4 linked regions of the Anolis sagrei genome follow. The protein of the gene in region 4 purifies or fractionates together with the protein of the main gene of each other region. This does not show direct contact. Links are inferred from orthologs where the notes say so. Each region holds a gene or a part of one and is shown on either strand. Other genes may lie near its edges.

Region 1 (8,010 bases), on a different chromosome or scaffold from region 4:
TAAATATGCAAATGTCACAAGGGAAAAGAGGCTGCCAGAAACTAAACAGGACTATTCAGACATTTAACATTTTTGGTAACTCCCACTGGCTGCTGCAATACAATTAGAATTGTGGAAAATATATATGAAAATGGCTGCATTTGCAAGACACTGATGGCAAAAGCATTTAAACACAGCACATAAAAAGGCTGAAAGTATAACATGATACTCAACTTACTTTTTGGATTGTGAACCATTTTTACAACCATCCCAACCAAGGCTAAGTTTTGCAGACGGGAAGGGGGGTGGCCATACTAAATGCACTCTTGTGTTTACTCACAAGTAGGCTCCATTAAGTTCTATGGAACGTACTTTTTGGTATTGTGTGCAGGCCTGGGGTATGAGGTACACCTGGCAAAGGGAAACAATCACAATAGGAGTCTAACATGCCAACATGGAAGGAAGAGTAAACTGAGACCACAATACATATACACTGGCAAATGTCCAGGCAATTTCTGAGTCTAGACTGGGGAAGTGGCAAAGTGAAAAAGCTTTCAGAGCCTGAGGGTAAGCTAGGGGCTAGATTAAGTTTTACATACAGCTTCACTACATCTATTGAAATGGTACTTGCAGAAAAAGTGATGAACCAAGTAATATTCGTTGCAGTGAGTCGTTGGAGTTGGGACTAAAATTGAATTTAGCCTAAAGGAAAGTAAGAGATGGAAAACTTTTAACTTATTCATTGCAGGTTTTTGTACAGAAAGAATATCCCTAAAGCCATATTATGAGATATATCAAAAAGTAAGGAGCGATCAACCTGTTTGTTTTTGTAAAAATTCAGAAAATTTACAAAATAAAATGACTTTTTCATTTGAAAAGACTCTTTGCTAACAAGAACTTATATCCAAGGTTTGCAAAACGCCATATACATAGCTTGAATTGAACCATGTTGTCATCCCCAATCTTAACCATGTTTACACAGAATCCAATTCCACGTTCAACAGCAGTTATTCAATATTAAAGCCAACAGAAGAGGCTTGTTCAACTCATTTTTGTTCAACCAAAAGAATCTTCCACTTCAGAATGCAGCAACCTGAAAGCAACTGCAAGACAAACATCTTTATTAGGGCTAAATAAAAATATTACACAGAATAGTATGCGAACTGTGAACTTCTTCCAAGCAATTCTGCAGGTTGGTTTTTAAGCAAAACCAGAATGCTGAACTCCTGGGGGGATTCAAAAGTTTGCTCACTACTTGGCATCACATTTTGGTTGGCAGAATGGGAACTACGCTGTTATTTTTAGGTTATCGTTGCTTCCTAGAGGATCAGCCTGAAATTTTTGTACATCAAGAAAAATATTTGATTTTACTCGATCGGTCATTTTCTCTTCCTTCCCCAAAGCATGTTGAGGAGGACACATGTCAGAATACTTTTCTCCCAATTTTGGTTTTGTAAAAAAAAGAGACCTAAGGAGAAAATATGAGGTTATGAGCAAAAGGACTGGGAACAGAGGTGAGGAACATAAAAATACAGGTTAAGCAGCCCTTTTCCCAAATCCCCAAAATGCTCCAAAATCCCAAAATGTTGCAATAGCAAACACTTTGCTTTCTGACGGTTCAAGGTAGTTAACTTTTGTTTCGCGCAGAAATGTATTTTTTAAATGGTGTGTAAACTGACCTTCCAGCTGTGTTTCAAAGATCTATGAAACAGCAACAAATGTGGAGTTTGGACGTGAGTTTCCATCTGTAACAAACTTTGTTTTGTGCCCCACAATATGAAAAACAGACCTCCTGGCTGTGTTTCTAAGGTGTCTATGAAACAGAAAGGAATGTGGAGCTTGGACTTGGATCCCATCTCCTATGCCTATGCAAACACTTCTCAAATTGAAAGGGAAAACAGGCAAAATCCCAAAAGACAACTGGTCCCAAGCATTTGGGAGAAGCTCAAGGCAAAGGAAGGAGGTGTGAGTTTAGATGAGGGGAAGACTTCCTAATGCAAGAGAATTGTGTGGAAAGTAAGGTTGGGGAAACCGAGGCGAAAGGGGAAGAAAGGAACTGAAAACTTGGGACAGGGATTCTGGGGAGGATTCTAATGTAAGGCACCAACCAGACTGCTCTCCCACTCTCCAAAAAACAAAAGCAAACAAAAAAACCCACCAGTAAAGGGAGAAGGAAATAACAAAACAAAACATAAAAGAAGGAGGGAGTGCTTGGAGGGGAACTGAGCAAAGGCATAGAGCTGAGAGAGAGAAATGTAAGGAGCATTGTGATAGTTCTAATTGGAAAGATGGGAATGGATAGTTCTGAGGGGAAACATGGGATTCGTGACGGGACATTGATAGTTCTGTGGGGAAATTTGGCGATTGTGAGGGACACTGTGATAGTTCTGAGGGGAAATTTGGGGGACATTGTGATAGTTCTGAGGGGAAATTTGGGGGTTGTGAGGGAAATGGTGATAGTTCTGAGGGGAAATATGGGAATTGTAAGGGACACTGTGATAGTTCTGAGAGGAAATTTGGGCATTGTGGGGGACACTGTGATAGTTCTGAGGGGAAATTTGGAGGACATTGTGATAGTTCTGAGGGGAAATATGGGAATTGTAGTAGTTCTGAGGGAAAATATGGAAATTGTGATAGTTCTGAAAGAAATACGGGAATTGTGATAGTTCTGAAAGGAAAGATGGGAATTGTGAGGGAAACTGTGATAATTCTGAGGGGAAAGATGGGAATTCTGGGGAGTTTGTGGAGCACTGTGATCATTCTGAGGGAAAAGATGGGAATTGTGATCGTCCTGAAGGGAAAGATGGGCATCCTGGGAGTTGAGTGAGGAGTTCTGAGGAGAAAGACGAGCATTGTGGTAGTTTTGTGGAGAGTCTGGTGGGGAAAGGCGTACCCCCCCCCCCCCCCAGTTGGGTTGGCCTTGCGGATTCTTTGCTCACCCAGGTCGTCCATGTTTCCTCCTCCGCCGCCGCTCCCCGCTCCGACCGCCGCTTGACTGGAGGCGCCGCAACTTTGGCCTCTGCTTGGCCGCCCCGCGCCTGCGCGCGACGCCCCCTGCCCTCTCCCCCTCCCTTCCCCTGGCCCAGCCAGGACCGCCCCTCGGGGCGCGAGCATCGACGCACGCGCAGAAGGCACCTTCGAAAACTAAGGCGGCCCGACAGCGCCGCCCACTCCCCTAGTGGCAGCGCCTGGGAGGCGCAAGGAAAGAATTGGGAGCGGGGCAGAGAAGGCCTAGGCAGAAGCTGTGTTCAATCGCTTCTGTGCAAATCTGGGAAATGGTGTACTACTATAGACAAATGCAGGAGACCAGAAGTGTTCAGAGAATATCTGCCTAGTGCCTACGCCTAAGGAGACAGAACCCATGACATTCTTTGATGCTTCTTTTAGGAAGCAGAATAAGTGCAATTTGGCAATGCTTTAACTGGCATGGCTCATTGCTATGGGATCCTGGAAGTTTGATTATTTCTGTGGCTTTCTCTGCCCAAGAATGCTCATGCCTCACCAAACTATGCCTGATGCAAGTTTTTAAAAATATATTTTTGTGTTTTTATCTATGTCATTTACTGTATATATATATTTATGTTTGTCTATATATTGTTGTTGTTCATTCGTTCAGTCGTCTCCGACTCTTCGTGACCTCATGGACCAGCCCACGCCAGAGCTCCCTGTCGGCCGTCACCATCCCCAGCTCCTTCAAGGTCCTCCAGTCACTTCAAGGATGCCATCCATCCATCTTGCCCTTGGTCAGCCCCTCTTCCTTTTGCCTTCCACTTTCCCCAGCACAATTGTCTTCTCTAAGCTTTGCTGTCTCCTCATGATGTGGCCAAAGGACTTCAACTTTGTCTCTAGTATCCTTCCCTCCAGTGAGCAGTCGGGCTTTATTTCCTGGAGGATGGACTGGTTGGATCTTCTCGCAGTCCAAGGCACTCTCAGAACTTTCCTCCAACACCACAGCTCAAAAGCATCTATCTTCCTTCGCTCAGCCTTTCCTAAGGTCCAGCTCTCACATCCGTAGGTTACTACAGGGAATACCATGGCTTTGACTAGGCGGATCTTTGTTGCCAGTGTGATGTCTCTACTCTTTACTATTTTATCGAGACTGGAGATTGCTCTTCTCCCAAGAAGTCTTCTGATTTCCTGGCCACAGTCTGCATCTGCAGTAATCTTTGCACCTAGAAATACAAAGTCTGTCACGGCCTCCACGTTTTCTCCCTCTATTTTCCAGTTGTCAATCATTCTTATATATACTGTATATATATTTATGTTCGTCCCCCTCGATGGACTGTCACCTTGTCGTGGTGAGGGGGCTTGCGTGTTCCAATGAAACTGCAGGCACAACAACTGGAATCGTGCAATCCCAGGAGTGGCCACGGGGGAGGTTCCAGACCAAGCACAGTCTGAAGACCCAAAGACCTCAATGGCAGAGCAGGCGGAGGATAATATGGTACATGTTACAATGGCTGTGAAGACGGAAGAAGGCTGCAACAGATTGAGAAGCCACGGTCATTGTGTTAAACTACATCACCAGTGGAACCTCACTCTGTGAAGACTGTGTGTTGATCAGTGTGCACTGACCTCCGCACATTAAAAAAACTCATGCACAGGCGTCTTCCAAAGAAAATAAAAACAAACCTACAAAAGTCCCATGGCGATCAGCGAGTGGTGACGGGGGCAGGACTGTGAAATATGGAAGCCCCTAGTCACAGACTGGCACATGGATGGATATGGACTCAGTCATTCTACCTCAAGGTCCGAGGCAGTTGAGTAGTTCGGCAGCTGTATCCATGACTGAGTAGCCCTTTTGAGGATCCACTCTGCTCACCCCACATGAGGAAGGGGCTAGAAAAGGTGCCCTAAACATAGTCTGCCTCTCTTATCCCTGACTGGACTGCCGCATCCAGTGGGGTCACCACCCTGCGGCCAAAAAAGGAAAATGAACTTTGGTACATGGAATGTACGGACACTGATGGACAACACTGACAGTGAACACCCCGAACACAGAACTGCCATCATTGCAAGAGAGTTGGGATGCTTTAACATCGACACAGCAGCCCTTCAGGAGACCCGGAGAGCAGGAGAGGGACAGCTGAAGGAAGAAAAAGGAGGCTACACCTTCTTTTGGAAGGGACTGCCCGAAGAAGACCAAAGAATGAACGGAGTTGGCTTTGCTATCAGAAATGATCTGGTGAAACATCTGACCGAAGCACCCACTGGCATCAATGAACGACTCTCAACCCTCCGAATTGAACTTGCCAAAAACTAACAGGCAACCATCATAAGTGCCTATGCACCAACACTAGATGCTGATGAAGACATCAAGGAAAAAAATTACTGTCAGCTGGACACCGTCCTATCGGAGATACCTAAGGAGGACAAAATCATCTTCCTGGGGGACTTTAATGCAAGTCGGGCGAGACTTCGACCTGTGGCCAGGGACCATAGGAAAAGACGGGGTTTGAAACAGCAACTTGAATGGCATCCTGCTTCTCACCAAATGTGCAGAACACAACCTTGGCATCAACACGCTCTTCCGCCAGAAAAAAACAAGTTCAAGACATCATGGAAGCACCCCCGGTCAAAGCATTGGCACCTCTTAGACTAAGGAATCACACGTGCCAGAGACCGCCATGACGTGCTCCTCACAAGAGCCATGACAGGTGCTGACGACTGCTGGACAGACCACAGGCTAATCCTAACCCAAGCGCAGACTCCAAGGAAGAAAGACAAGGTGCAAAATGAACACCCAAGCCCTTCAGGAGCCCTCAAATTGAACCCATCTCCAAACAGCACTCAAGGACCATCTACCCACAGAACACCCCGAAAATGTTGAGGAACATTGAAATAAACTGAAGACCTCCATCATCACAGCCTGTGAAGAAAGTATTGGATACCAAACCAAGATGCATCAAGACTGGTTTGATGAAAATGACGAGATCCAACAGCTAATTGACAAGAAAAGGAAAGCCTTCCAAACATGGCAGAGAGACGTCAACTGTGCTGCTAAGAAAAAGATCTACACCAGTGCAAAAGCTGAGGTCCAAAGAAGGACAAGAGAACTCAAGAACATCTGGTGGACAAAGAAGGCTGAAGAAATCCAACACCTGGCAGATACCCATGATGCTCAGGGATTTTTCAAAGCCACAAATGTCATCTATGGACCAAGAAACCATGGCACACAGCCTCTACACTCATCAGATGGAACCAAACTCCTGAAGGACCAAAAATCAATTACACTACGTTGGAAAGAACACTACCAAATTCTCCTGAATCGCAGCTCCAATGTGGCCGAAAAGGTTCTCTCACAAATCCCACAACAACAAACCAGGGATGAGCTTGCAGCACTGCCTAATCTGGAAGAAGTCAGCAATGCCATCAACCAACAAAAAATAACAAAGCCAGAGGACCTGATGGGATCCCTGCTGAAATCTTTAAAGAGGGAGGACCTGAGCTGACACAACAACTCCACCAGCTCATAGAAAAAGTGTGGGTGACCAAGAAAATCCCAGCAGATTTCAAGGATGCCACCATCATCACCCTCTTCAAAAAAGAGGAAAGAATGGACTGTGGAAACTATCGAGGTATCTCCCTTCTAACCTTCACTGGGAAAATCCTAGCAAGAATCCTTGCAAACTGCCTTCTACCCCTCTCAGAAGACACCCTCCCAGAATCCTAGAACGGCTTCCACCACTCCAGAGGAACCGTGGACATGGTCTTAACTGCACAACAGCTCCAAGAAAAATCTGCCTCTGTACATGGCATTCATTGACCTTGCAAAGGCATTTGACACAGTGAATCACAGCGCTCTCTGGACCATCCTCCAAAAAATCGGCCTGTCATTGAACATCGAGAAAACCAAAGTGCTGTTCCAGCAGTCACCAGCCAACCCCTCTCCAATGCCAGAGATACAGCTTAATGGTGTAACATTAGATAATGTTGACCATTTCTGCTACCTTGGCAGCCACCTCTCCACCAAAGTCAACATTGACACCGAACTACAACACCGCCTGAGTTCCACGAGTGCAGCATTTTTCCCAATGAAGCAGAGAGTGTTTGAGGACCGGGACATCTGTAGGGATACCAAGGTGCTTGTTTATAAAGCTATTGTCCTCCCAACCCTACTATATGTCTGCGAGACGTGGACTGTCTACAGATGTCACATGCAGCTCCAGGAACAATTCCATCAGTGCTGCTTCCAGAAAGTCCTGCAAATCTCTTGGGAAGGACAGGCAGACAAATGTCAGTGTGCTGGAAGAAGCAAAGACCACCAGCATTGAAGCGATGGTCCTCTGCCATCATCTCCATCTGCCTGACAACTGTCTCCCAAAGCAGTTGCTCTACTCCGAACTCAAGAATGGAAAATGGAATGTTGAAGGACAGGAAAATAGATGTAAAGATGGGCTCAAAGCCAACCTTAAAAACTCTGGCATAGACACTAAGAACTGGGAAGCCCTGGCCCTTGAGCGCTCCAGATGGAGGTCAGCTGTGACTAGCAGTGCTGCAGAATTTGAAGAGGCACAAATGGAGGGCGAAAGAGAGAAACGTGCCAAGAGGAAGGCGCATCAAGCCAACCCCAACTGAGACCGCTTCCCACCTGGAAACCAATGCCCTCACGGATAGGGCTCCACAGTTACCTATGGACCCACCAGAACACTGATCCTGGAAGACTATCCTACTCGGCGAACGAGGGATCGCCTAAGTAAAAGTAATTTATGTTTGCATGCTTTTGCACCCCGCCTTGGACCATCAGGAGAGGCAGGTAATACTTTACTCAAGTCTAGTGCACCATCTAATCTAATGCGCATCTCAATTTTCAAAACCTTGAAACCCCAAAAAGTATTTGCCGTATTACACAAATCTAATGCGCGCTCTAATTTTGGGAAAGTAATTTAATATAAAGGTGAGCATTAGAACCATGTAAATATGGAAATTAAATGTTGTTATGGTTATTATTTGAAACACAACAAGATTAGTACACAGCAAACAAGATCACTCTGTTGGCTGTTGTATTGGATCACACGTCGGACACTTCCC
Region 2 (7,875 bases), on a different chromosome or scaffold from region 4:
CAAAGAGCATTCTGAACTCCACTAACAACAGATTTGGGGCAAACTTCCCACACAGAACCCCCATGACCATCAGAAAATACTTAAGGCCATCCAGTCCAACACCCTTCACCAGGGCAAGAATACGTAATCAAATCCCTCCTGACAAAGAGCCATCCAACCATAGATATAGATAGATATATATCATTCACACAGAGATATAGTATCATAGATTTGAAAGGGACCCCCAAAGAAGAACAATTTGCATGTTGCATGTTCCAGAGTAGGCAAACCATACCATCTCCATATCAACACTGACAAAGAAACAAGAAATACTGTTTACCCACAAGCAGAAAGAAATTACATATATTAGAAACCAACACTGTCTCATTACTTTATTTTCCAGATCACCAGACTGGGCCACAGCAATGCGTGGCAGGGGACGGCTAGTTAGAAATATATTTCATAGGCATTGCAATTCTCCTGTGACAATGGAGTAAGACTAGTGTAGCAGTGTTTATTATTATTAGTAGAAGTAATTGTAATTGTTGATATAATGTAATTTTGTTCCATTAAGTTTACAATCCATTTTGTATTACTAATGTAGTCTCTACCATGAAGAAAAATCCCACATGATTACTATATATGGTAACCCTGGAGTTCATTAGTCTTTAATAGTGGAGCCTTCCCATGAAGGGAATATGTGGCATTAACTTCAAACAGCTGATTTGGAGTGTCCTGAAAACAACTGTTTAGTTTACTTGTAGAGTGTTTTCAACAGGGACATTTTCTGCTTCAGATGCCAAAATAACACGGCTTGCTTTGGTGTGGGAGGTAGACAGGAATTTCCTCCTCTTCCCCTGACAGCTAATGACTTGGGACAACCCTGTTCCTTACAGAAACAACAAGTCCTTATATTTCAGTCTTTTATCTTTGGCCATTGCGGTTGTCTAGCTTGTGCATCTGGAACTGCATGGGTAACAAATCTATATAAATAAAAATGTAATGTTTGTTTGTGGGATTAACATAATTCAAAAACCACTGGATGAATTAACACCAAATTTGGACACAATACACCTATCAGGCCAGCGAGTAACCATCACTCACAAGAACACTGAAAAACACAGTGGGAGGGATTTAAAAAGTCAACCCCCCCCCCCAAAAGATACTACAGTGCATGTGCAAAAACATCTACCCCGGCAAACAAAACACACAATAGCATATCCACACTCTCTTCCGGACTACAGATCCCAGCATCCCCTATACCAGGCCCTTTAGGAGAGGAGGACAATCCAAATGAACTGCTTCCAAGATGCAAGTTTTCTTCTCCTTAGATTTCCTGCATACAGGGGCGGCTCAACCCATTACGCAAAGTAAGCATTTGCAATATAGTTGATTTTGCCAAGGGGCGCTCTTGAGGCGCTCTTGGGGGAAAATAGACCTTGACGTTTGCGAGTTGTAGTTACTGGGATGTATAGTCCACCTACAATCAAAGAGCATTCTGAACTCCACCAATGATGGAATTGAACCATATTGCCATATTGCACACAGAACTCCCAGGATGAACAGAAAGTATATATCAGTGATTGGTTGGGGAGGGGGGGGGGGGGGGCAAAATACTGTTTGCTTACCATTGAAAATGACCTAGGGCCGACTCTGCCTGCATATTTCCAATTTTCTTTTCCTGGACTGCAACTCCCAGCATTTCTCCAGATAAATGGATTAGATAGAGATAGATAGTTTGGTAGATAGATTTACCTAGCTCCAGCAGACTTTTGTCTGCTGGAGCTAGGTGTGAATGTTTCAACTGACCACCTTGATTTGCATATAATCAACCCAGTGATTCCGGCCATGAAAGCCTTCGAAAAAGAAAGATTTTCCTGAGTTATGTTGTGTCCCCATACATATTGGTATTATTGCAATGTGTGTAAATATCTGTGTGTCTTATAAGAGGCCAGTTTAACGTCTGGTTTATTCTTAAAACTGAATTAATGTGTCGCTCAATGATACATGTCTAAAAACTGTTTTGCCAGCATGAAATGGTTGGAAAGCTCTGCCCTAAACCAACAGGGGAGTGATATTCATCCTCTAAAGGGCAGGATGGCCTGATAGGTAATTTCTTGACAGAATCCTATGCTGCTGAGGTGAGAAAACATTATAATAATACAGTCAACCCCCCATCTACAAATTCTGCATCCATGGATTCTACCATCCACATCTTCAATATATATAAAAAGATCCAAAATGCAAAACTTAAATTTTGTCGAAGGGATTCCATTTTACTATGCAATGGATGTAAGGATGCGTAGATTTTGGTATCCACAGTGGATCCTGGAACCACTGCATTCAGAGTGCTGATCACCACTGGGACCACCTTTACTGGCTTGTACCAGTTTTGCAGTTTGATCTTTAAATCCTCATACCATGTCAGCTTTTCCAGTTGCTTCTCATCAATTCTGCTGTTGCCTGGGATTACAACACTGATGATCCATACTTTGCTTTTTTCCCCATGATCATGAGGTCAGGAACCAAACAGCAAAGAAAAGAATGAAAGAAAGAGGTAAAGAAGAAGAAAGAAACAGTATTCCTTGTTTTTTCTATGTCAATGTTGATGTGGAGATTGTCTGGTTTGCCTACTCTGGAACATGCGACATATCATTGTCCTTCTTTAGGGGTCCCTTTCAAATCTATGATATTATATCGCTCACTGTGTGTGAATTATATATATCTATCTATATGACTGGATGGCTCTTTATCAGGAGGGCTTTGATTACGTTTTCTTGCCCTGGTGAAGGGAGTTGGACTGGATGGCCTTAAGTATTTTCTGTCGGTCATGGGGGTTCTGTGTGGGAAGTTTGCCCCAAATCTGTCATTGGTGGGGTTCAGGATGCTCTTTGATTGTAGGTGAACTATAAATCCAGGAACTACAACTCCCAATTGTCAAGATTCTATTTTCCCCAAACTCCACCAGTGTTCACATTTGGGCATATTGAGTATTCGTGTAGTTTGGTCCAGATCCATCATTGTTTGAGTCCACAGTGATCTCTGGATGTAGGTGAACTACAACTATAAAAACAAAGGACACTGCCCACCAAACCCTTCCAGTATTTTCTGTTGGTCATGGGAGCCCTGTGTGCTAAATTTGGTTCAATTCCATCATTAGTGAAGTTCAGAAAGCTCTTTATTGTAGGTGAACTATAAATCCCAGCAACTACAACTCCCAAATGACAAAATCATTTTTTTTAGTGAAGGACATACATTGGGTTATTAGGTGTTTTGTGTCCAAATTTGTTGTCAATTCGTTCGTTTTTGAGTTCTGTTAATCCCACAAACGAACATTACATTTTTATTTCTATAGATTTTAAAATTAACGGTCTGGACTAGATGCTATGAGCCATGACAGTTTAAAGTGGGGTCGAGCTGCATTATTTCTACTGTAGACTGGAGCTACACTGCTATATAAATTGCATGCATATAGATCCAGCCAAAAGAGCAAAGGGAAATGTATTGTCGAAGGCTTTCATGGCTGGAATCACTAGGTTCTTGTAGGTTTTTTCGGGCTATAGGGCCATGTTCTAGAGGCATTTCTCCTGACGTTTCGCCTGAATCTATGGCAAGCATCCTTAGAGGTAGTGAGGTCTGTTCTGAGAATCTGTGAACCCCACCTCCTCCAAGATGAACTGAACCACCTCAACTGGGCTCTCCAGGCCAATGGATACTCCACCTCAGACATCAGAAGAGCTGCAAGACCAAGAACAAGCCACGAGAGTAAAGATGAAGATCCACCCAGAGGAAAAGTGTTCCTGCCATACATCAAGGGAACCACTGACCGCACAGGGAAGCTGATGAGGAAACACAACATACAAACAATCTACAAACCCACCAAGAAAATCCAACAAATGCTACGTTCAGCAAAGAACAAGAGGGATCCTCTCTCCTCTGCAGGAGTCTACCGTATACCATGCAGCTGTGGACAAGTCTACATAGGGACCACCAAACGCAGCATTGCCCAGACACGCATCAAGGAACATGAAAGGCACTGCAGACTCCTTCAACCAGAGAAATCAGCCATAGCAGAGCACCTGATGAACCAGCCTGGACACAGCATTTTATTTGCGAGCACGGAAATGCTGGACCACTCCAACAACCACCATGTCAGACTACACAGAGAAGCCATTGAAATCCACAAGCATGTGGACAATTTCAACTGAAAGGAAGAGACCATGAAAATGAACAAAATCTGGCTACCAGTATTAAAAAACTCTAAAATTACAACAGCAAAACAGCAAAGAGGAAACACCTCTCAACAGGGGAATTTTCCCAGGCTCAGCCAGGCCTTCAAATGCTAATGAAGGTGGTCAGCTGAAACATTCACACCTAGCTCCAGCAGAGAAGAGCTCTTTGCCCCACCCCAGCCATTCCACAGATATATAAACCCATTTTCCTATTTCCAATAGACCTCACTACCTCTGAGTATGCTTGCCATAGATGCAGGCGAAACGTCAGGAGAAATGCCTCTAGAACATGATCATATAGCCCGAAAAAACCCACAAAACCTTAAAAAACATTCACATTCAATTAGAACCCCCCTCCCCCAAAATTACATTTTTATTTATATAGATCTCTATATTTACTGGAAGGAAAAAACCCGAAAAAACCTACAAGAACCTAGCAAAGGGAAAATTCCACAGAGTGGGTCCCAGAAGTCAAGGCGGCGCATCACTCTATTTTATCGTAGCTCTGTTGTTTCCCAGTGAGCGTCACAGAGACGAGCAGGAGGGAAGAAAGGGGCGGCGGCGCTAAGTTTGGCGGAAATGACGCACGAGGCATAGCGGAAGTCCGAGGAGGGGCCGCACTAGCCGCAGCGCCATGGTGGATTACAGCGTGTGGGATCACATCGAGGTGTCCGACGATGAGGACGAGACTCACCCCAATATCGACACGCCCAGCCTCTTCCGATGGCGACACCAGGTGAGGGAAAGGCGCCCCGCGAGAGAAAGGGCCTCGCTTTCGGAGCCCCGCAGAGAACTCTCTGGGCTAGGCCTGCTCAGGCTGCGGCCCTCTCCTTGCTTAGGCCTCCAGCTCCCAGGATTCCTGGCCATTGAACAAACTGGCGAGGGCCTGTAGAAGTTAGAGGCCCAGAGATCTGGAGGGCCGCCCTTTGAGGAGGCCTGCATGGCCCATTACTCCACCCTCATGAACATACTTGGGTGTGGTTGTTTTTAATCTATCTATCTATCTATCTATCTATATAAATACTCCATAAAAACAAAAGAACCAATGAACGAAATCACACCAAATTTGGCAACAAAATGTCTCACAACACAAGGAGTGACCATCACTCAAAAAGTTATGATTTAGCCATTTGGGAGTTGTAGTTGCTGGGATTTATAGCTCAACTACAATCAAAGAGCATTCTGAACTCCATCAACGATGGAATTGAACCAAACTTGGCACACAGAATCATAGAATCAAAGAGTTGGAAGAGACCTCATGGGCCATCCAGTCCAACCCCCTGCCAAGAAGCAGGAATATTGCATTCAAAGCACCCCTGACAGATGGCCATCCAGCCTCTGTTTAAAAGCTTCCAAAGAAGGAGCCTCCACCACACTCCGGGGCAGAGAGTTCCACTGCTGAACGGCTCTCACAGTCAGGAAGTTCTTCCTAATGTTCAGATGGAATCTCCTCTCTTGTAGTTTGAAGCCATTGTTCCGCGTCCTAGTCTCCAGGGAAGCAGAAAACAAGCTTGCTCCCTCCTCCCTGTGGCTTCCTCTCACATATTTATACATGGAACTCCCATGACGAACAGAAAATACTGGAAGGGTTGGGCGGGCACTAACCTTGTGTTTTGGAGTTATAGTTAGTTTACCTACATCCAAAGAGCACTGTGGACTCAAAAATGAAGGATCTTGACAAAATTTGGCACAAGTACTGCATATCCACAAGTATGAACACAGATGGAGTTTGGGGGAAATAGACCTTGGCAATTTGGAGTTGTTTATTTATTTATTTATTTATTTCGTGTACTTATACCCCGCCCTTCTCACCCCCGAGGGGGGACTCAGGGCGGCTTACAAAAGGCACATCTTGGTGCCTACACAAATACAATAATATATAAAACCAGCAATTAAATGGTCAACAATTAAAACAATTAAAAACAACAATATATCACACAATCAATAGCCAATCTCAGACACAGCGTTCGCCAACTCAGAATTCATGTTTCGCTCTACCTTGTCCAGTTCCTATCTATCGTCACAGTCCCTTATTCATCTGCCAGATTGCCCAAACGCCTGGTCCCACATCCACGTCTTTAATTTCTTTCTGAATGAAAGGAGGGATGTTGCTGATCTGATCTCCCCGGGGAGTGAATTCCATAGGTGAGGGGCCACCACTGAGAAGGCCCTGCTCCTCGTCCCCGCCAATCTCACTTGTGAAAGAGGCGGGGTCGAGAGCAGGGCCTCCCCAGAGGATCTCAAACTCCGAGATGGTACGTAAATGGAGATGCGTTCGGACAGATACGCTGGGCCGGAATCATATAGGGTTGTCAGGATTTATAGTTCACCTACAATCAAAGAGCATTCTGAACCCCACCAACGATAGAATTGGACAAAACCTTCCACACAGAACCACAACAGCAACTCTGATGACCCTTGCGACACCCCCTCATGACCTCCCTCCGGCATCCCGACCCCCAGAATAAGAAATGCTGCATTAAGGCCATCCAGTCCACCTCCCTTCACCGGGGCAAGAAAACATAACCAAAGCCCTCCTGACAAAGAGACATCCAGCCATAGATATAGATAGTTATGTATGATTCACACAGACACAGATATATGTATATGACAGATATAGTGCCATAGATTTGAAAGGGAGCCCTAAAGAAGGACAATTATATGTTCCAACGTAGGCAAACCAGACAATCGCTACATCAACACTGACAAAGAAACAACAAGAAATACTGTTTACCCACAAGCATAAAGACATTACAGATATATTAGAAACCAGCACTTTCTCGTTACTTTATTTTCTAAATCACTAGGCTGGACCACAGCAACACATGGCAGGTGATGACTAGTAATAATAATAATAATCTTTATTTGTACCCCGGCACCATCTCCCCAAAGGGGACACGGGGCGGCTAACATGAGGCCAAGCCCAAAAATACAATACAGCAAAATAAAATACAAAACAACAGAAAAATTACATCATAACAAAATGCATAAAATAACAAGATGAAATAAACAGTGCAAAATCTATATAAATAAAAATGTTATGTTCGTTTGTGGGATTAACATAACTCAAAAACCACTGGACAAATTGCCGCCAAATTTGGCCACAAGACGCCTACTAACCCAAGAACTGATCATCACTAAAAAAAAAATTGATTTTGTCATTTGGGAGTTGTAGTTGCTGGGATTTATAGGTCACCTACAATCAAATAGCATTTTGAACTCCACCAATGATGGAATTGGGCCAAACCTAGCACACAGGACTCCCATGACGAACAGAAAACACTAGAAGGGTTTGGTGGGCATTGACCTTGAGTTTGGGAGTTGTAGTTCACCTACATCCAGGGAGCACTGTGGACTCAAACAATGATGGATCTGGACCAAGCTTGGCACAAATGTTCCATATGCCCAAATATGAACACAGATAAAGTTTGTGGAAAATAGACTTTGGCAATTGGGAGTTGTAGTTACTAGGATTTATAGTTCACCTACAATCAAGGAGCATTCTGAACCCCACCAACGATGGAATCGGGGCAAACTTTCCACACAGAACCCCCATGACCAACAGAAAATACCATCCAGTCCAACACCCTTCACCAAAGCAAGAAGACGTAATCAAAGCCCTCCTGACAAAGAGCCATCCAGACATAGATATATATGATTCACA
Region 3 (7,171 bases), on a different chromosome or scaffold from region 4:
GGGCTATAGAGCCATGTTCTAGAGGCATTTCTCCTGACGGAGAAATGCCTCTAGAACACGGCTCTATAGCCCGAAAAAACCCACAAGAACCTTTCTGAGTGTTGTTCTTTATTTACTATCCCAATTTTAGAGTTTCTGAAATACTGGCAGACAGATTTTGTTGATTTTCAATCAGGGCCAGCTAATCACCTCCCAACAAAGGAGTCCTCCAGGCAGGAAGCAGCCAAGCTTTGAATCTGAAAGGCCATTCAATGCTAATCAAGGTGATCAATTGCAGCATTCACACTTGCCTCAAGCAGGCAAGAGTTCTTTCTCCCACTTTGGACATTTCCCCAGGCAGGAAATAGCCAAGCTTTGAAGCTGAAAGACTATTCAATGCTAATCAAGGTGATCAATTGCACCATTCACACTTGCCTCAAGCAGGCAAGAATTCTTTCTCCCACCCTGGACATTCCACAGATATATAAACCCCACTTGCCTAGTTTCCTAAAAAACTCACAATCTCTGAGGATGCCTGCCATAGATGTGGGCGAAACATCAGAAGAAAATGCTTCTGGAACATGGCCATACAGCCCGGAAAACTCACAGAAACCTGGAAATTGGTTAACTTTTGAGGAGAGGCTACCTGGCTATCGTGCAACTTGGCAACCTCACTTGTTAATCCAATACACATCCAAGGATAGGAAAGCACTCTGCACATGCTCAACCTCCCTCTCTGTTGCTATCATTACCGCCACATAAGGAATGACCCTTGGCATAGAGGGAAGGATCCATGAGGCTGGGCCCTGCTGAGTCTAGGCAGGTCTCCAAAAAAGCGGTGGCAGCCAAATTCCAGGCACTTGGTTTCCTTTACGAAAAGCAGCAACCCTCCTTGATCAACAACATTTGAAAAGACAAAACCCAACCATCGCCACCACCCTGAAGGGAAAAATATCAACACACACATGCATACACATACTCCCTTCAAAAATATATATAGGAGGAATAATGCCTCCATGGTTGTCTTGATAAAGCTATAATTGAAGTCTTGGGGGAGATAAAGTGGGATCTAAATAAAATAATAATAATAATAATAATAATAATAATAATAATATGTATTTAGTAGGAGAAATAATGCCTCCATGGTTGTCTTGATAAGGCTATAGTTGAAGTTGCTTTGAGCCCCTCTTGGGGGAGATAAAGTGGGGTCTAAATAATAATAATAATAATAATTATTATTATTATTTAGTAGGAGGAATAATGCCTCCATGGTTGTCTTGATAAGGCTATAACTGAAGTCACTTTGAGTCCCTTTTGGGGGAGATAAAATGGGGTCTAAATAATAATAATAATAATGATAATAATATGTAGTTAGTAGGAGGAATAATTCCTCCATAGTTGTCTTGACATGGCTATAATTGAAGTTGCTTTGAGTCCCTCTTGGGGGAGAAAAGGTGGGGTCTAAATAAATATATTATTATTATTATTATTATTTAGATTTATAATTAGATTATAATTTAGATTCTCACCTAAACTTGGGAAATGTTTAGCGCGTTTGGTGGGGACACGGGACAGGGCCTTTTCTGTGGCGGCCCCCCGACTCTGGAACGCCCTCCCAAAGGATCTCAGACAGGCCCCCACTCTGGCCGTTTTCAGAAGGAATTTAAAAACTTGGCTGTTCCGTTGTGCCTTCCCAGACTAGGAACCCCCACCCCAAGTCCTAGTAGCACTTTAGCATAACTAACTGTCGCTGCACACCACACTTTTAATCTTACGTGCCTCCTGCCATTTCAGCACTTTTAACCCTTGTGCCCCAGTGCGCCGGCTGAACCAGTTTTAATAAGGTCTTGATGTACTGTCATTGTCGTTATTTTTGCTTATTATCTGATTTGCTTAGTTATTGTGGAGTTATGTTATTTTGTTTATTGTTTTGATTTGCTGTTATTGTGATGTTACGTTTTACTGTACTGTGTTTTGAGGCTTCGGCCTGTGTAAGCCGCATCGAGTCCTCCGGGAGATGCTAGCGGGGTACAAATAAAGTTAATAATAATAATAATAATAATAAATGTCAGAGGTGAGATCCAATACAACAGCCAACGCAGTGATCTTGTTTGCTGTGTACTAATCTTTTTGTCTTCCAAATCCTGATAATTCACCTGGATGTTGGCCTGAATGCTTTCAGATAGCCTTAGGAATGAAAGGAGGCGCCTCCACCTGCCTTCAGCAGCCAGGTTTCATTTACACAAAGGAGGGATTCCCACCTAAATGTTTTCGAACGGGCATGGGCCAACTTTGGCCCTCCAGGTGTTTTGGACTTCAACTCCCAGGAATGGTGGGAGTTGAAGTTCAAAACACCTGGAGGGCCAAAGTTGGCCCATGCCCGTTTTAGATGAACCTCCCGATGGCAAGAGCTTCCTCTGGAGGTTGTGAAGCAGAGGCAAGGATGGCTATCTGCCGGGAGGGCTTTGATTGCATTTTCCAGGGAGGGCTGGACAGGACGGCTTTTGGGGCGCCTCCCAACGCAAGGGAATTGAATCAGGAGACGAACTCCGCACGGTTCAACAAAACCCAACCATGTGTACGCCACTAACTTCTGGGAATAAGGCATAAAGGCGCTGGAACAAGTGGCACTGGCAGCCTGGATGCCTCTCCCTCTTCCCTTCCCTTTCCCGGCTTGATTACCTTGATTGCTGGAGGCGAGGCGTCTCGGTTCAGCCGCCACGCACGGGGATGCCTTGGCTTCAGCTCCCGCCACGGAGCCCTCGCTTTCCACGCCTGGCGAGGAAGGAGGGAAGGAAGGAGGGAGGGAGCCACCTGGAGGGAGGAGGCGCCTGGCGACACAGGGAAGGAGGGCGGGCGGGCTGGCTGGCGGGGCTCTCTCTCTCTCACTCACTCTCTCTCTGCCGCGATGGTGGCGGCTCCCAGCGGCCAAGGGGCTGCCCCTCCTTCTCTTCGCCTCCCCAGTCGCTCCTCCTGACCTGCCCGTGACTCACGAACCGGAGGGAAGCGAAAGGAGGCGCGAAGACAGCACAGCAGGCGTTGAGTGGACCTGCCCGCCTCCCCAGAAAGCCTACGGTGGCCACACAAGGAAGGAGTTCCCGCAGTCACTGCTACTGACCCGCCTCTTCTCTCTCCCACAGAGGCTGGGTCTTCTATAAATGCCGCGATCCCCTTCATACAGTTTCTCATGTTGTGGGGAACCATACAATTATTCTCGTTGCTACTTCATAATAGTCACTGTTATGAAGCGTCGTGTAAATAATGTAAGTTGGCTAAAGCTCAGGAATGGGCAAACCCAGGCCCTTGGGTTTTTTTTCTCAGACCCTCCCCCCCCCCCCCTCACACATACACACACACACCATCCTATCATTCCTTCTCTTTCCTTCCTCCTTTTCTCTCTCCCTCTGTCACTCTCCCACCATCCTATCATTCCTTCTCTTTCCTTCCTCTTCTCTCTCTCTCTCTCTCTCTCACAAACACACACAATCCTATCATTCCTTCTCTTTCCTTCCTCCTTCTGTCTCTCACCATCCTATCATTCCTTCTCTTTCCTTCCTCTTTTCTCTCTCTTTCTCTCACCATCCTACAATTCCTTCTTTCCTTCCTCCTTCTCTCTCTCCTTCTGTCACTCTCTCACCATCCTATCATTCCTTCTCTTTCCTTCCTCCTTCTCTCTCTCTCTCACCATCCTATCATTCCTTCTCTTTCATTCCTCCTTCCCTCTCTCTTTCTCCCCACTTCCTTCCCTTTCAAGCTTTCGTCCTTCTTTGCTCCCTCTTTCCCTTTCTCCTTCCTTCCTTTTTTGTCTTTTTTCCCTTCTCTCTTTCCTTCCTCCCTTCCCTCGTTCTCCCTCCCTCCCCCATTCCCTTTCACCCTTTTGTCCTTCCTTCCTTCTCTCTTTCTTTCCTCCTTCCCTTCCTTGCACTCATCTCTTCCTCCCTTCTCTTTTTCCTTCCTTCCTTCCTTCCTTCCTTCCTTCCTTCCTTCCTTCTTTCTATCCATCCATCCATCCATCCTTCCCCTCCATCTTTTGATCCTTCTTTCCCTTTTGTCTTTCCATCTGTTTCTCTTTCCTCCTTCCCTCCATTCTCTTCCACCTTTTCATCCTTCTCTTCTACCCTTCTCTTTTACCTTCCTGCCTTCCATCCTTCCCCTCCAGCATTTCGTCCTTCCTTCCCTTTTATCTTTCCTTCCTTCTTTCTTTCATCCCTTCCCTCTTTCTCCTTCCCTCCATTCCCTTCCACGTTTTCGCCCTTCCTTTTCTTTTTCCTTCCTTCTCTTTCCTTCCACCTTCCATTCCTCCTTCCATCCTTCTCTTCCTTCTTTTTCCTTCCTTCCATCCTTCCCCTCCACCCTTTGTTCTTCCTTTCTTCCCTTTTGTCTTTCCTTCCTTCTCTCTTTCCTTCCTTCCCTCTTTCTCATTCACTCCATTCCCTTCCACCCTTTCATCCTTCCTTCTCTCTTTCCTTCCTCCTTCCCTCCCTCCCTCCTTCTCTTGTCTTCCTCCCTTCTTTTTCCTTCCTGCTCCCTCCCTCCCTTCATCTTTCCCCTTCACCCTTTTGTTCTTCCTTCCTTCTTTTTCTCCCTTTTGTCTTTCCTTCCTTCTCTCTTTCCTTCCTCCCTTCCCTCTTTCGCCTTCCTTCAAATAGTGTTATCCTTTATCTGAAATGCTTGGGACCAGACAAATTTGTGGTTATTATTATTATTATTATTATTATTATTATTATCATTCCCATTATTATTATTACTACTACTATTTGCAGTTTGACTCCACTTTAATTGCCCTGGCTCTATGCTATGAAATCCTGGGAGTCGTAGTGTTGTGTGGCACCAGCTCTCATTGGAAGAGAAGGCTAAAGACTTTGTAAAACTGCAGCTCCCAGGTGCCAAATTATGTTAATCTTACAGTGTAGATGCACCCATCGAGTCACCATGGAGTGCCTAGAAATTTGTTAAGTCCCATATTTGAATTTGTATTATGAAAACATGAAGTTCTTGGTTGCCTTAGAGAGCAAAAGAGTTTTTTTGCATTGCAGGTCACTGGTATAGCCTTCTTTCCAATCATCCATCTATCCATTCATCTATCCACCCATCTATCAAATAATATGAAATATAACCTGATGAGACACCATTGTCATGCATATGGTTTTTAAATGTTTATTTATGGTTTTTAAATGTGTATTTATGTTTATGTTATATATTATTTATGTTTAATATGTTATATATAAGTTTAATTGCTGTTGATTTAATGCTGTTTTTGATTTGTTGAAAACTGCTTTGGGTCTTTTTGGGGAGAAAAGCGGGATATAAAGAATTATTATTATTATTATTATTATTATTATTATTATTGTCTGATATGCAGGATGTATTTTCATTCACTGAACCACATTTGGCATAAATACCTGATATGCCCAAATTTGAATACTGGTGGGGTTGGGGGGGGGGGGAGTTATTGATTTGTTTCATTTGGGAGTTGTAGTTGTTGGGATTTAGAGTTCACCTACAACCAAAGAGCATTCTGAACTCCACCAATGATGGAATTGAACCAAACTTGGCAGACAGAAATCCCATGGCCAACAGAACATACTGGAAGGGTTTGTTGGGCATTGACCTTTAGTTTTTGGAGTTGTTGTTCACCCACATCAAGAGAGCACTGTGGACTCAGACAGTGATAGATCCGGACCAAACTTGGCACAAATTCTCAATATGCCCAAATGTGAACTCTGGTGGAGTTTGGGAAAATAGACCTTTGACATTTGGGAGTTGTAGTTGATGAGATTTATAGTTAATCGACAATCAAAGAGCATTCTGAGCCCCACCAATGATAGAATTGGGCCAAACTTTGAAGGGGGTGACTCGAGCCTCCCTCCAGCCTCATACGCTCTCCCTTGCCTGCAAATGCGCACAATGCTGCCATGCTCCAAGCATGCCTGCTCTCCCCTCCCTGGTTGGAGTCTCAGAAACAGCTTTCCCCTTGGCTGAGAGGCTAGCTGAGAGGCTGGCCAATCACAGCAGGAGGAAGGATTTTGGTGGGAAGATTCACTAACTGTTTCCAAAAGGAAGAGAAGGACAAGCAGATAGATCTTCAGCCTCCTCTGCCAAAGGGGTTCTTAAGACCATCAGAAATATATGTTTTCTGATGGGCTTTGGAAACCCTTCTGAAACCCCCTTGTGACCTCCATCAGGGTTCCTGACCCCCAAGTTGAGAAGTGCTGCTCTACACTGTTGTATATGCCAGGGTCTGATCCTATAATTATCTGCTTTAAACTGGATTCTATGAGTCTACACCACCACATAATCTGAGATCAGTTCCTGGAATATCCCACAGTGTTGATCCAAACCTAAACTAAATGAAATGCCACTTGTTATACAAATAAAGGGTTGCACTTCCTTATAGGGAAACACCTGGGCCATTTGAGAAAGATGCACTTTCACTTTGCCTCTAGTTCCATCTACACTGCTATATAATCCAGTTTTTGGATTCAGGTGATCTGCTTTGGACTGAATTATATGAATCTACACTGCCTCCTCATCCAGTTCAAAGCAGATGATTCAGAAACTTGATTCCAGGCAGTCCTCAAGTTGGCAACAAAATAGGTTCTGCGGGTTTGTCCTTAAAAACTGAATTTGGATGTAAGTCAGAACTATAATATCCCCTTCACTTTTCTTTTAGCTCCAATCTTTAGGAGCAACATATTCTAAATAAAAATAAGTCTAATCGTGTCTGACTCCGAGGTGTGTTGCAGAAGCTGGGGCTAACAGTGGGAGATCACCCCGCTCTCCGGATTCAAACCACCGACCTTTCAGTCAGCAAGTTTAACAGCTTAGTGAACGGGGGAGGGGGCTCCAAAACTCTCTCTCTCTCTAATATATCTCCTTGTTTTTGCACACACACACACACACATTCTTATTCCAATCACTTTGGATAGCATAGGGAAGGGTTAACACCTTTGCTTTGCTGTCTGTGTCAGCAGATTTCACCTCACTTTCTGCCCCTGTGAATACGATTTTGCAAAATTTGGCTTGTTGTGGAAACAAAGATTGGCGATAAAGCATTGGAGACACCTTTCCCCCCATTATAACTCTTTTCAAGAGTTAATTTCCCTTCCGTGAGGTAGATTTCTCTCACTTTCTGCTGTCTCACCCCCTCCCCCACATTTGTAACTCAGGGAGTGCCTGTGAAATGGCAGTG
Region 4 (7,492 bases):
GGCCCCTTCCACATAGCTGAATAAAATCCCACATTATCTGCATTGAACTGGAATATATGGCAGTGTGGACTCAGATAACCCTGTTCAAAGCAGCTATTGGGTTTATATGGCTGTGTGAAAGGGGCCTAAGGCCTCTAGATCCTTGCCATATGTTGCCGTAATGTGACTGTACTTTAACTTCTATTAGTGCAGGTACAGAAATGGCTTGGGTTGCTTTTCTCTGGACACATTCCAGATTGTCAATATTCTTGAATTGTGGTGCTCACAAAGGCACATAGTATTCCAATGAGCTCTGACCAAAGTGGAACACAGTGGCACAACAACTTCTGTCAATAGTAAGACAATATATTCTTGTTGATACAGTCCAGAACTGCATTGGCGTGTGTTTAGCTTTTGATCAACCAAGACTCTTAGATCCTTGCCCAGGCTATGTGCTTTTATAGTTTCTACTGGCGCAGGTACAGAAAAAAATCAACAGCTGAGGGCATGACGGCTCCTATTTTAGACTGAGGTTGCAACCTTTACTTTGAATTATCACCCCGCCCCCAGCAAAAACTCCAGTTAAGAAAATAATGTACACAGAGATGCAGAAGGTATCGATCCATCTCTCTCAGTACTGCCTGCTCTACTTGGCAGCACCTCTTTAGGGACTTGGGCAAAAAAAGCTTCTTGTTTCATTTTTCATTGCACTCTTCCACTGAACTCAGTTTCATCCCATGAGTTATAACCTATAGGAAGACTGATACATCTGAGTTGACTAGATGGGTTGGAAGCACCTGGAAGCTGTTAAAGACTCTCATCTGCTAGATCTGTACCAATAAAAGAGCCTCATTTAATTCCTTGGTTATCATTCCCAGGTAATCACACCTAAGACCCAGCCATATGGCGGTAGTTCTGTCTTACCTATAGGGTTTTCTTAGGCAAGGAATATTTAGAGGTGGTTTTGCTTGTTCCTTCCTTTGAAAGGTAGTGTACAGCACCTGGCATTTGTTGACAGCAGATGCAGGGAATGCCATGGATGTAGCGTAGATTTCAGAAAGTCCTTCGTCAAGGTCCCCCATGACCTTCTGGCAAGCAAACTAGTCAAATGTGAGCTAGGCAAAACTACGGTTAGATGGATCTGTAATTAGTTAAGTGAATGAAACCAACGGGTGCTCACCAATGTTTCCTCTTCATCTTGGAAAGAAGTGACAAGCGGAGTGCCATAAGCAGGGTTCTGTCCTGGGCCCGGTCCTATTCAACATCTTTATTAATGACTTAGATGAAGGGTTAGAAGGCATGATCATCAAGTTTGCAGATGACACTAAATTGGGAGGGATAGCCAATACTCCAGAAGACAGGAGCAGAATTCGAAATGAACTTAACGGATTAAAGAGATGAGCAAAAACTAACAAAATGAAGTTCAACAGTGACAAATGCAGGATACTCAATTTAGGCAGAAAAAAATGAAATGCAAAGATACAGAATGGGGGACGCCAGGCTCGAGAGCAGTACGTGTGAAAAAGATATTGGAGTCCTCGTGGACAACAAGTTAAACATGATCCAACAATGTGATGTGGAGGCAAAAAAAAAAAAAAAGCCAATTGGATTTTGGGCTTCATCAATAGGAGTCTAGTGCCTAGATCCAGGGAAGTCATGCTACCCCTCAATTCTGCCTTGGTCAGACCACACCTGGAATACTATGCCCAATTCTGGGCACCGCAATTGAAAGGAGCTGTTGACAAGCTGAAGTGTGTCCAGAGGAGAGCAACCAAAATGATCAAGGGTCTGGAGAACAAGTCCTATGAGGAGCAGTTTAAAGAGCTGGGCATGTTTAGCCTTCAGAAGAGATGGCTGAAAGGAGACATGAAGAGGGCCTTGCATAAATATGTGAGAGGTAGTCATATGGAGGAGGGAGCAGGCTTGTTTTCTGCCGCCCTGGAGACTAGGACATGGAAAAATGACTTCCAACTACAGGAAAGGAGAGTCCACCTTAGGAACAGCTTCCTGACTGTGAAAGCTGTTCAGCAGTGGAACTCTCTGCCTCGAAGAGTGGTGAAAGCTTCTTTGGAGGCTTTTAAACAACTGGATGGCCATCTGTCAGGGGTGCTTTGAATGCGATTTTCTTGCTTCTTGTCAGGGGGTTGGACTGGATGTCCTACAAGGTTTCTTCCAAGTCATGTTACCCCTCTATTCTACCTTGATCAGACCACATCTGGAGTACTGTATCCAATTGAAGGGAGATGTTGACAAGCTAGAATGTGTCCAGAAGAGGGCGACTAAAATGATTAAGGGTCTTCCAACTCTATGATTCTATAATCCCAGTATGAACAAGGGCTGATCCTGCTTTGCTTCCAAGATGAGAAGGGTTTGGGCACCTGGATGAAGGTACAACAGGCATGGGCAAACTTCAGCCCTCCAGGGGTTTGGAAGTTCAACTCCCACAATTCCTAACAGCCAGAGTTGAAGTCCAAAAGACCTGGAGGGCTGAAGTCTGCCCATGCCTGTGTTAGAGCAGTGTTTCTCAGCCTGTGAGTCCCCAGATGTTTTGGCCTTCAACTCCCAGAAATCCTAACAGCTGGCAAACTGGCTGGGATTTGTAGGTCAAAACACGTGGGGACCCACAGACTGAGAACAACTATGTTAGAGGGTGGGGCAGTCCCTTCCATGCTTACCTGAGGGGAAAACAACTCCATGGTTTTACGTGGAAAATTTCTGTTTGAGCAAACAAAACAGGGGGAATTACTGGACCTTCCTATCTCCTTTTCAGATTTTTTGAGGGGAAAGAGGAAGGAAGGAAGGAAGGAAGGAAGGAAGGAAGGAAGGAAAGAAGGAAAGAAAGAGACAGGAAGGATGGAGAGAAAGGAAGGAGAAAGAGGGAGGAAAGAGAGAAGATAGGAAGGAGAGGAAGGAAGGAGAAAGAGGGAGAAAAGAGAGAAGATAGGAAGGAGAGGAAGGAAGGAGAAAGAGGGAGGAAAGAGTGAAGATAGGAAGGAGAGGAAGGAAGGAGAAAGAGGGAGAAAAGAGAGAAGATAGGAAGGAGAGGAAGGAAGGAGAAAGAGGGAGGAAAGAGTGAAGATAGGAAGGAGAGGAAGGAAGGAGAAAGAGGGAGAAAAGAGAGAAGATAGGAAGGAGAGGAAGGAAGGAGAAAGAGGGAGGAAAGAGTGAAGATAGGAAGGAGAGGAAGAAAGGAGAAAGAGGGAGAAAAGAGAGAAGATGGGAAAGAAGGAGAAAGAGGGAGGAAAGAGAGAAGATAGGAAGGAGAGGAAGGAAGGAGAAAGAGGGAGGAAAGAGAGAAGATAGGAAGGAGAGGAAGGAAGGAGAAAGAGGGAGGAAAGAGAGGAGAAGATAGAATCAAAGAGTTGGAAGAGACCTCATGGGCCATCCAGTCCAACCCCCTGCCAAGAATATTGCATTTAAATCACCCCTGAAAGATGGCCATCCAGCCTCTGTTTAAAAGCTTCCAAAGAAGGAGCCTCCACCACACTCTGGGGCAGAGAGTTCCACTGCTGAATGGCTCTCACAGTCAGGAAGTTCTTCCTCATGTTCAGATGGAATCTCCTCTCTTGTAGTTTGAAGCCATTGTTCCGCGTCCTAGTCTCCAGGGAAGCAGAAAACAAGCTTGCTCCCTCCTCCCTGTGGCCTTCTCTCACATATTTATATATGGCTATCATATCTCCTCTCAGCCTTCTCTTCTTCAGGCTAAACATGCCCAGCTCCTTAAGCCGCTCCTCATAGGGCTTGTTCTCCAGACCCTTTATCATTTTAGTCGCTCTCCTCTGGACACATTCCAGCTTGTCAATATCTCTCCTGAATTGTGGTCCCCAGAATTGGACACAATAATCCAGGTGTTGTCTAACCAAAACAGAATAGAGGGATAGCATGACTTCCCTAGATCTAGACACTATGCTCCTATTGATGCAGGCCAAAATCCCATTGGCTTTTTTTGCCGCCACATCACAAAAAAGCCAATGGGATTTTGGCCTGCATCAATAGGAGCATAGTGTCTAGATCTAGGGAAGTCATGCTACCCCTCTATTCTATTTTGAGAGGAGAAGATAGGAAGGAGAGGAAGGAAGGAGAAAGAGGGAGAGAAGAGAGAAGATAGGAAGGAGAGGAAGGAAGGAGAAAGAGGGGGGAAAGAGAGAAGATAGGAAGGAGAGGAAGGAAGGAGAAAGAGGGGGGAAAGAGAGAAGATAGGAAGGAGAGGGAGGAAGGAAGATCCCCACCGAAATGATTAAGAGGGAAATTGAGTAGAGGGGGGAGAAAAAAGTCCTACGACCCTCAGGAAGAGAGCATCCACCTCTCTCCCAGACGTGAAGCCCTTGAGGACCACAATCCACCCCCTCCCTTTATAAACCACCCTCCCCAAGGCCTCCTCCTCCTCCTCCTCCTCCAGGCAGACACCACGCCCGACGTCAGCAAGCGCCTCGTAGACGTCACGCCTTGACTCACCGCGACGTCATACCTCCCTCCAACCCTCCTCCTCCTCCCCCTCCCCTTTTGCCCGGGCAGGACGGAGTCGCGCGGCTCCTTTCCGCCTCTTTCCTTCCTTCCTTCCGCTCTTCCTCTTTCCCCCCAAAAATCAAGCCAAGGAGGCGGCAGCTTGTCCTCCCCCCTTCTCTCCCCTCCCCCCAGCTTCCGGTTCTGCTGCCATATTCCTTTTTTTTATTTTAAAGGCAGGGGAGGAAAACCCGCTGGGAAAGGGAAATAAAGCAGCGCAAGCGAAGGGAGGCAAGGAAGAGCTGCGTCCTGCTCGCCTTCTCCTCTCCCTTTGGATGCTCTTCGGGTCGGAGGAGGCGCTCCAAGGCTTCCTCATTCCGGAGGAAGGAAAAGGAGAAGAAGGAGAAAGGAGACGCCGGGCTTTCTGGAAGCCGCAGCGAAGGGACTGCTGCTGACATCACTTTCTCGCAAGCCGTCCAAGTTCTGGTCCCTTTCGAGGCTCAAGTCTCCAGCGAAGGAAAGAAAAGAAGGGAGAGAAGGAAGGCAAGACCCAGGCGCGCCTCCCGTCCTAGCAAAGCTCCTCCTGAATGAATACGCGGCGCTTCCTCGCTGGGCCGCCTTCCTCTCCCTCTCCTCCTGGGTTGCCTCTGTTTACTTCCAACTGAGCCCCCCTCTCCTTCCTTCCTTTGGGTTTGGGAAGAGGGAGAAGCACACCAAGGAAGGGAGGAAGCCAAGCAGACGTCGTCTATCAGCTGAGACCGAAAAGCCGGCGGAGGAAAGAGGAAGGAAGGTAAGCCGCTCCGCCGGTGGAGAGAAGCGTCTCTCCTGTTTGCAGGGAAGGAGACAGCTCACTACTTGGCTGGATGGGACTTAGACCCTCCAGGTGTTTTGGACTTCAACTCCCACCATTCCTAATAGCCTCAGGCCCCTTCCTTTCCCCGGCTGAGGGGGGAAAGGAAAGGGCCTGAGGCTGTTAGGAATGGTGGGAGTTGAAGTCCAAAACACCTGGAAGGAAAGGCCCAAGTTTGTCCATGGGTGCCGGTTAACTGAGAGTCTGCAGCACGTGTCTGTGTTTCGAATTTCATGTCTGAATATCCCTTTCTTTCTCCTCCTCTCCTTCCTTCAAGAAAAAGGAATATGGATTAATAATAATAATATTTTCGAAGGCTTTCATCACTGGGTTGTTGTAGGTTTTTCCAGGCTATATGGCCATGTTCTAGAGGCATTCTCTCCTGACGTTTCGCCTGCATCTATGGCAAGCCTCCTCAGAGGTTCTGAGGTCACATAGCCCGAAAAAACTTACAACAACTGGCCATGTTCTAGAGGCATTCTCTCCTGATGTTTCGCCTGCATCTATGGCAAGCCTCCTCAGAGGTTGTGAGGTCACATAGTCCGAAAAAACCTACAACAACCCAATAATAATAATAAAACTTTATTTCTAGACCGCCCTCTCTCTCTGAAGGGACTCAGGGCAGTTTGCAGACACAAAACAAAAAGGCAAACATTCAATACCTTCAAATGAATACAAAATACATAAGAATAATACAAGATAATGCACAGAAACAACCGTACACTTGCAACAATTAAGCATCGAGATGGAAATGATTGAAAAGCAATCCAGTAAGAGATGGTAAACTAAAACCTGAGAAAAGCATTACAATGTTTACCCTGTAAGCAATTATGATACAATTACATTGGAATGGGTTGTTTTGAGTTTTCCGGGCTGTATGGCCATGTTGCAGAAGCATTCTCTCCTGACGTTTGGCCCACATCTATGGCAGACATCCTCAGAGGTTGAGGGGTCTGTTTGGAAACTAGAAGAATGGGGTTTAAGCCTTCCTGAGTCCTCCTTTGGAGGTTGAGAAGGGCGGGATACAAATGCTCTAAATAAATAAATAAGTAAATAAATAATCTGTGGAATGTCCAGGGTGGGGGAAAGACCTCTTGTCTGCTGGAGGCATGTGTCAACGTTGCAATTGGCCACCTTGATTAGCATTTAATGGCCTGCAGTTTCAAGGCATGGCTAGTTGCTGCATGGGGGAATCCTTTGTTGGGAGGTGTTCGCTGACCCTGATGAATTCTTATCTGGAATTCCCCTGCTTTTTGAGGCTTGTTCTTTATTTACTGTTCTGATTTTAGAGTTTTTAAAAAACTGGTTTCCAACAAACCCCTCAACCTCTGAGGATGCCTGCCATAGATGTGGGCCAAACGTCAGGAGATAATGCTTTCTGGAACATGGCCATACAGCCCGGAAAACTCACAACAACCCATTGATTCCAGCCATGAAATCCTTTGACAACACAATAATATTAATAATAGGACTTTATTTCTAGAACGCCCTCTATCCTCAAAGGGACTCAGGATGGTTTACAGACACAAAACAAAAAGGCAAACATTCAATGCCTTAAGTAAATACAAACACATCAAAATAATACAAGATAATGCACAAAAACAACAGTAAACATACAACGAAGAATTATCCATCGTGATGAAAATAATTAAAAAAAACAAACCAATAAGTGATAGTAAACTAAAACATGAGTAAAACACTACAACATATACCCTAAAAGCAATTATGATACAATTACAATAAAATGGCTAACACCTGTATTCTTTTAAGATGTATTGTAGCAGCCAAAAAATACAAGTGGGTTATGGATATTGTGTGTATATGTATGTGTATGTATCTCTTTGCTCCTGCTCCTGAATTCCCCTTTTATTCTAATGGCAGCTATTTCCACTGAGTGGGTTCATCTTTCTCCCTTTCAGTAAAGGCGGGGAAAGAAAGGCAGAGCCTGGTTCTGATGCCTTGTTGTTGTTGTTGTTTGTGCTCAGTGTGCGTGAAAGGATGCAGGCCAGGATGCTTGGCCGCCAGGGAAGAGGATCCTTGGGGGGGGGGGGGGGGCTTTCTTTTGTTGTGGTTCAGTGTCTGCTTCTATGGGAGTGAGGGGAGGGGGCTTCCTGTCTGGTCCCAGGTGCCCTCCTCCCTCGCCCTCCCTCCCGCTTCTTACACTGAGAATCAAATCATTTGGGGGAAAAGAAACCAGGGCAGGAGGGAGGGGGAGAGGGC

The links.
Region 1: the proteins of SRC (region 4) and PXN purify together in Homo sapiens (co-immunoprecipitation; 4 studies listed by BioGRID and IntAct, with this or other methods). This does not show direct contact. The link is inferred for Anolis sagrei from reciprocal best matches to the Homo sapiens genes SRC and PXN.
Region 2: the proteins of SRC (region 4) and CDC37 purify together in Homo sapiens (affinity purification with mass spectrometry; 3 studies listed by BioGRID and IntAct, with this or other methods). This does not show direct contact. The link is inferred for Anolis sagrei from reciprocal best matches to the Homo sapiens genes SRC and CDC37.
Region 3: the proteins of SRC (region 4) and MET purify together in Homo sapiens (co-immunoprecipitation; 4 studies listed by BioGRID and IntAct, with this or other methods). This does not show direct contact. The link is inferred for Anolis sagrei from reciprocal best matches to the Homo sapiens genes SRC and MET.

What each region holds. Positions count from the first base shown.
Region 1 is NC_090034.1:45,993,953-46,001,962, forward strand, and holds the start of PXN (paxillin), read right to left. Parts: upstream 3,028-8,010; 5' UTR 2,932-3,027; coding exon 2,919-2,931; intron 1-2,918. UniProt on the Homo sapiens protein: Cytoskeletal protein involved in actin-membrane attachment at sites of cell adhesion to the extracellular matrix (focal adhesion). Recruits other proteins such as TRIM15 to focal adhesion.
Region 2 is NC_090022.1:161,784,266-161,792,140, forward strand, and holds the start of CDC37 (hsp90 co-chaperone Cdc37), read left to right. Parts: upstream 1-4,788; 5' UTR 4,789-4,845; coding exon 4,846-4,947; intron 4,948-7,875. UniProt on the Homo sapiens protein: Co-chaperone that binds to numerous kinases and promotes their interaction with the Hsp90 complex, resulting in stabilization and promotion of their activity. Inhibits HSP90AA1 ATPase activity.
Region 3 is NC_090025.1:131,229,701-131,236,871, forward strand, and holds the start of MET (hepatocyte growth factor receptor), read right to left. Parts: upstream 3,032-7,171; 5' UTR 2,662-3,031; intron 1-2,661. UniProt on the Homo sapiens protein: Receptor tyrosine kinase that transduces signals from the extracellular matrix into the cytoplasm by binding to hepatocyte growth factor/HGF ligand. Regulates many physiological processes including proliferation, scattering, morphogenesis and survival.
Region 4 is NC_090024.1:216,704,449-216,711,940, forward strand, and holds the start of SRC (proto-oncogene tyrosine-protein kinase Src), read left to right. Parts: upstream 1-4,453; 5' UTR 4,454-5,212; intron 5,213-7,492. UniProt on the Homo sapiens protein: Non-receptor protein tyrosine kinase which is activated following engagement of many different classes of cellular receptors including immune response receptors, integrins and other adhesion receptors, receptor protein tyrosine kinases, G protein-coupled receptors as well as cytokine receptors.